Oryctolagus cuniculus: one gene and its partner. The protein of the gene in region 1 binds, or shares a complex with, the protein of each later gene. Links are inferred from orthologs where the notes say so. Each region holds a gene or a part of one and is shown on either strand. Other genes may lie near its edges.

What was found.
Region 2: PPIH (region 1) and LSM4 share a complex: the UniProt entries of both Homo sapiens proteins name them as parts of the U4/U6-U5 tri-snRNP complex. The link is inferred for Oryctolagus cuniculus from reciprocal best matches to the Homo sapiens genes PPIH and LSM4.

The regions. Positions count from the first base shown.
Region 1 is NC_091438.1:130,416,427-130,420,234, forward strand, and holds part of PPIH (peptidyl-prolyl cis-trans isomerase H), read right to left. Parts: intron 1,930-3,808; coding exon 1,842-1,929; intron 397-1,841; coding exon 356-396; intron 1-355. UniProt on the Homo sapiens protein: PPIase that catalyzes the cis-trans isomerization of proline imidic peptide bonds in oligopeptides and may therefore assist protein folding. Participates in pre-mRNA splicing.
Region 2 is NC_091447.1:65,592,468-65,595,452, reverse strand, and holds the end of LSM4 (U6 snRNA-associated Sm-like protein LSm4), read left to right. Parts: intron 1-170; coding exon 171-212; intron 213-434; coding exon 435-533; intron 534-1,531; coding exon 1,532-1,715; intron 1,716-1,898; coding exon 1,899-1,990; 3' UTR 1,991-2,317; downstream 2,318-2,985. UniProt on the Homo sapiens protein: Plays a role in pre-mRNA splicing as component of the U4/U6-U5 tri-snRNP complex that is involved in spliceosome assembly, and as component of the precatalytic spliceosome (spliceosome B complex).

The DNA of each region.
Region 1 (3,808 bases):
ATCCAGGTGGAGGAAACAGCAGGGGCAAGGGCTGGGGCGGAGCCGTGTGTGGCACAGTGGGAGCAGGGCCAGCAGCCTGACACAGAGTGTGCAGCACAGCGGGGCAGGCAGGGATCAGATCACGAGGGACCCTGGACGCAGGGCTGAGGGGACCAGGTTGCCAGAGGCCGCTCCTCATTGTGGGACAGAGAGCCTAACCGACAGGGACAGAGCACTCAAGGGGAGAGTGCGACCTCCTCCCTTTCCAGAGGGTGTGCAGGGAACCAGAGGCAGGGAAGACTGGCTCTGTCTTTACCTTCTCTAGTCAGCAGGGACCAGACCCGAACGGCTGGGAAAGAGAGCAAGTAGGACTTACCTCAATCTTTCTCATCACCAGAAGGCCATCGATGATTTTTCCTGCAGGAAGAGTACAAGTTGGACTTTATTCTTCTTGTTTACATAGCATTTTCATTTCCAAAGCATGTTCTTGGATATTATCTTACTAATCCCTTTTACTAACTTTCAGAAATGGAGGGGCTGGTGTTGTGGTGTAGCAGGTAAAGCTGCCTACGATGCCAGCATCCCATATGGGTGCTGGTTTGTGTCCAGGATGCTCTACTTCTGATCCAGCTCCCTGCTAAAGGCCTAGGAAAAGCAGTGGAAGATGTCCCAAGCGTTTGGACCCCTCCAACCTACGTGGGAGATATGGATGAGGCTCCTGGCTCCTGGTTCTGCCCTGGCCCAGCGCTAACCGTTGCAGCCATGTGGGGAGTAAACCAGCACATGGATGATCTCTCTTTCCCTCTTTCTCTGCAACTCTGACTTTCACATAAACAAACAAAATCTTAGAAAAAAAATTGGGATTCAGTGGAAGCAAAATGACTTGCCTAAGGTCACAGGTAACAAGCAGCAAAGTTAGGGCTCAAGCTTATTTTTTTTATCTTATAGATTTAGTTACTTGAGAGGTAGAGTTAGAGAGAGAGAGGTCTTCCATCCGCTGGTTCACTCCTAAAATGACCCCAACGGCTAAAGCTGAGCAGATCTGGAGCCATGGGCCAGGAGCCAGAGCCAGGAGCTTCCTCTGGGTCTTCCACAAGGGTGCAGGTGCCCAAGCACTTGGGCCACCTTCCACTACTTTTCTAGGCACATTTGCAGAGAGCTGCATGGGAAGAGGAGCAGCCAGGCCTTGAACCAGCACCCATATGGGATGCTAGTGCCACAGGCGGAAGCTTAGCCTACCACACCACAGTGCCAGCCCCACGTCTGAACAATTCTAAAACCCACTGTAGTATGTTGCCTGTATGGCATGTCTTTTTTTTTTTATAGATTTATTATTTTAAAGGCAGAGTTGGGGGGGCGGGGTTGTCCTTCCATCCACTAGTTTACTCTCAAAATGGCCACAATAGCCCAAGCTGGGCTGAACCAAAACCAGGAGCTTCTTTTGGGTCTCTCACAGGGGTGTTGGGGCCCAAGAACTTGGGCCATCTTCTGCTTTCCCAGGTTACAGCAGAGAGCTGGATCGGAAGTGGAGCAGCGAGGATTTGAACCAGCGCCCACATGGAATGCTGGCACTGCAGGTGGTGGCTTAGCTCACTACTAGGGCATTTCTTTAGTCCCAACATCTGAGTTTTTCCCTTCAGCATACCTGTTACCCAAGTGGTTACACACCACATCAGGTCGCCCCTTTGCTCTTCCTTCTAGTCCTCTAACCACACATCTTCCCCACCCCACTTGCATCTGCCCTCCTACTACCTGGAGGTAACACCAGTTGCACATTCTTGGCAAGGGTTTGGGATTGGCTCCTCTGGGAGTCCCACCTTGGATGAGTGGAGCCTAGCTGTCAGGACAGGAGTAGAACTTACCAAATACTACGTGCTTCCCATCCAGCCAATCGCACTTCGAGCAGGTGATAAAGAACTGACAGCCGTTTGTACTGGGACCGCTGTTGGCCTGATGGGGACCAAACACACCTGCAGTTACTTTCTCTGTCCATGTTAGAGGCGAGATTCCCAAAAGAGCCTGTGGCCCTGGTTCCTCCACACTTCCTTTCAGTAAACCTATCTGAGCACCTATTAGGGGTCACAGCCTAAGCCAGGATCAAAAGATACAGAGATGGGGGCTGCAACACCAGTACCCAACAGGTGCCAATTTGAGTTCTGGCTGTTCCACTTCTGATCCGGCTCCCTGCTAATGTACCTGGGAAAGCAGTAGGGGATGGCTCATGTACTTGGGTTCCTGCCACCTACGTGGGAGAGCCAGATGGAGTTGCAGGCTCCTGGCTTCTGCCCGGCCCAGGCCTGGCCAGTGTGGCCATTTGTGGAGTGAACCAGCAGACAGAAGAGCTTGCCCTCTCTCTCTCCCCTCTAACTTTGCCTCTTAAATAACAAACTTTAAAAAACTTAAAAAGCAAAACCCAAAGACACAAAGATGAACAAACACAGCAGCCCTGCTCTTGAGGAGCTGGACCCTTTAACAAATGTACATTTTCCCTACAGAGTGTTTACAATAGGAACAATTGTTTTGGAGACATGATTTGTTGTATTAGTCCCAAACTGGTTACAACTTGATGATAATTACAAATTAGCTGCCAGCTGGGAAAGGCCTGTCTGAATGACTTTGTACTAGATCATAACAATACTAACAAAATGTAAGGAGCTGCAAGAAGCTGCTGTGCTAGAAAAATGACATTTAGTTCATGCTTGCTTGTAGTTATTCATATTCAGAGCCACACCCAATCTCATTATTATTGAAATTTACAGGAAAAATTACTTTCCAGAGAATCTGAAACTGTCTAGCCATCTCTTTGACATTGTTTTTAATTATTGTATTTAATAATGCACTATAATTACACAGCAGAGTGATACCTTGCAAAGAATCCTTGACTTTCATATGAAGTGGACTTTGCATACATTTTAAACTGATAACCTAAACTGCCTTTAACCTGCGAAATTCAGACTTCTGTACATCAGTGAACTCCAGCTGGAATTCGGCAGCACTGCCTTACAACAGGGTCAGTTTAACTATGTGAATATTTTGTTGTACATTTCCCTTATTTTGGAAAACAATGAGTAGAGAGAGGAGAACTGAAATTATTACTACTCTGAAGGAAAGACAGATCTCATAAAATTAACACCACTGAGACAAAAGTGGCAATTTTATTAGATAGGCCACTAACTTGAATCAGATTTTTAATGGATTTAAATTGGCTAGGTCTGTGTTTCAACTGTGAAGAAAAAATGTGAACGAAGTACTGGCAATACATTAAAGATTATGTTTAGAGAGGTGACCACCAGTTAGGGATTTTATATCATATTTTACAAATCCCTCATGTAAGAAGGGGCTAGGGGCCGGCGCTGTGGCGTAGCGGGTAAAGCTGCTGCCTGTGGTGCTGGCATCCCATATGGGTGCCCATTCAAGTCCCAGCTGTTCCACTTCTGATCCAGCTCTCTGCTATGGCCTGGGAAAGAAGTAGAAGATGGTCCAAGTCTTTGCATGAGACCCAGAAGCAGTTCCTGGCTCCTGGCTTCAGATCAGTGAAGCTCCGGCCGTTGTGGCCATCTAGGGAGTGAACCGGCGGATGGAAGACCTTCCTTTCTCTCTCTCTCTCTGCCTCTCTGTAACTCTGCCTTTCAAATAAGTAAATAAATCTTAAAAAAAAAAAAAAAAAAAGATGGGGCTATTTTGGGGATGTATTCAAAACATTTCGTATGAAAAGTAACAGACTGCCTAAACAGGCCAGAGTAGTCCCACTTTGGAATGTAGGATAGAATTCCCAAGGACTCCAATCATCTTGTTTCTTTTTGCTGCTGCTATGTATAATCATTTCTCC
Region 2 (2,985 bases), on another chromosome or scaffold:
GGTGCTGCCCAGGGCACGGAGAGAGGTCAGGGTGGCCGCGCTGGGGCGTGGGCGTGGCCGCCGGGGGGTGGGGCTTCTCTGGCAGAACGACGGGGGGGGGGGGGGGGGGAGTTTGGGGTTTCTGGGATGCCGCCCCGGGCCGCACAGTCCCTGGCACGCTTGCCTTTCAGCTTCCCCTGTCGCTGCTGAAGACGGCGCAGAACCACCCCATGGTGAGTGTGCGGGGGCCCTCCCGCCCTCCCGTGCGCAGCCCTGCGCCCGCAGCAGCCGGGAGCTCCCTCCAGTCCCCCGCGTGGGTGGGGGGTGGGCGGCAGGGGGCGCAGGGACTTGGGCTGGGGTGCGCACGCGCGGGAGGTGGTCCACGGGCCTCGCGGGGTCGCAGGGCCAAGCCGGGCCCCCCGGGCGTCTACACCTGCGGCCCCGACTCCCGGCAGCTGGTGGAGCTGAAGAACGGGGAGACGTACAACGGGCACCTGGTCAGCTGCGACAACTGGATGAACATCAACCTGCGGGAGGTGATCTGCACGTCCAGGGTGAGGCCCGCGCCGCCCCGCCCCCCTGCTGCCCCGCCCCGTGGGCGTCACCCGGCCAGCAGGAGGAGGGCAGTGCCCCCACCGCCGGGACCTACCGGGTGATGTGGGAGGGGCGGGGCGGCTCCCCAGGACCCACTGAGGGCCTCCCCCCGGGCTGTGAGCCCCTGCAGACCCCGGGGTGGCCGCCAGGCCTGGGCTGCCCCGCCTCCCGGTGGGAGGTGCTGGGTCAGACCCCGGGGTGGGGTGGGGTGGGGTGGGAGGGACCCGGCGCCTCCCCAGGGTTGGCTCAGCCCCCGGGCCCTGCTTCCAGATCCCCGGCGCCCGCGGGGAGGAGTGACGTCCCGGCCTGTCCTTGGCCACTGTGGAGCCAGCGTGGCGCTGGAGCTGGGCCCCATGGGACCGCCCTACTTGTGTCTGGCTGGCCTTGGGGTCCCCACTGGGAGCCCGCCCTCAGCGGCCTCGGCCGGCGACGCCCACCCAGCCGCCCGGGGAGCAGCTGACCGGAGGGGGGGTTCTGGCCGGGAACAGCGCCTGCAGGCACCGTGCGGGGCTGGTGGCCAGGGCGGGGCCGGTCCCGAGCTGTGTGGACCTTGTCCCTGTGCAGGGGCCCGGGCGGGGGTGTGGCCGGGAAGTGCCAGGATTGCATCTGTGGGACAGGGGCACACAGGGCTGTGGGGTGGGGGCGGGGCGTGCTGGGGGTGCCCCTCTCGGCCCACGGCACCGGTCACTGCCCCGCTGGGCCGTGGCTCCGTCGGTGCCCTGCTCAGGCCCAGAGACAGCTCTAGAAGGGGGGCTGTGGGCAGGGGGAGTGGGGGGTGGGAGAGACCCAAGCAGCCTCACTGGGGGCGGGGCTTCCTGGCTGCCCAGGGGCCAGACAGGCCCTGCGCGGGGGGGGGGGGGGGGGGCGCCCGGGGGGGGGGCGCCCCCCAGCCTCGGCCCTGGCCGCAGCTCAGGGACCCTCCGCCGGGCCGGGCGTTGACGCGCTGCCTCCGGCCCAGGACGGGGACAAGTTCTGGCGGATGCCCGAGTGCTACATCCGCGGCAGCACCATCAAGTACCTGCGCATCCCGGACGAGATCATCGACATGGTCAAGGAGGAGGTGGTGGCCAAGGGCCGCGGGCGCGGGGGCCTGCAGCAGCAGAAACAGCAGAAGGGCCGCGGCCTGGGCGGCGCCGGGCGAGGTGCGGGCAGGGCTGGGCGGGGCGGGGGAGGTGCGGGCGGGGGGGGGGGAGCGGTGCTCCCCTAGGCCCTCAAGCCCTGGTCCTGGCCAGTGGCGGAGCCCCTGTCCTCCCTGGGCCCTTGTCCCGGCCCCCGCCGCACAGCTGGGGAAGCTGAGGCCAAGCCGCCTCTGTCCGTCCCTGCAGGTGTGTTTGGCGGCCGGGGCCGAGGCGGGATCCCAGGCACTGGCCGAGGCCAGCCAGAGAAGAAGCCGGGCCGGCAGGCGGGCAAGCAGTGAGCCGCGCCCCCCGAGACCGAAGCCCTGCCCCGCTGCGGGACCCTCTCCTTCCGGCCGGGCCGCCTCGCCCCCCCCCCCAGTGTGGACACCTGTGTGGTGGTGTTGGTTTTGTGAAGCCCCCGCCCCGAGGCCGGCCCGGCTCCGTGGATAGCTCCGTGGATAGCCCGGCCTGCACCTGCTGGCACGGCCCAGGGCCGGCCCCTCCCGCACGGCGACAGGCCCGCGGGGGCCGTAGTGTCGCCTTCCAGACGGAGTGGACGGGGCCGGCCCATGCGCCTTTGCTTCCATTTCTCTGTGTTCTGAAAATAAAGCCCAGTCCAGCCTCAAGGCCCCTCGGCTTGCGTCCGCCCTGCAGCCCTTGGGCCCCAGGAGACCACATCTGGGGGCCCCGACCCGGCCTGGGGGCTCCACAGGGGCTGGGGGGGTCTCCCGAGCTCCTGGCCCGGCTTGTCCTGCGGCCCCTCCCGTCTTGATAGAGAGTCGGGGAGGGGGCACCCTGGCTGGAGCCACTGTCCGGCCCGCTGCCCCCTCTCTGTTTTCCCACCAGGTGTCACCTTGGTGATCGCCCCCCAACCTCAGGGGGGGCAGGGGTTCCGGTCACGGCCGGGGGGGGGTGACGCAGGGGAGGCCTGGGTCCCCGCTTGGGCGTTCTCCGGTCACGGCCGGCCGAGGCCCGTCTGGAGGGGCGACAGCATTGGAGGGACGTAAGTGCAGCCCCCACGGCTTGGGGCTCCCGGCTCTGCGGCCCACAGCTCCGTGGTGGCGGCGTCTTAGGGGCCGGCGCCGTGGCTCAGCGGGTGAAGCTCCGCCTCGACCCCCCAGGACCGCTGGTTCCAGTCCCGGCTGCTCCCAGCCAACGCACCTGCCATCCTCGCGCGAGCCCCTGATGGAGCGCCTGGCTCCTGGGCGGTGCAGCCGCCTGGGGAGTGGCCCAGCGGATGGAAGGCCTCTCTCCCTCCCTGCCCCCCACTTTGTGGTTTTGTAGCCTGCTACCC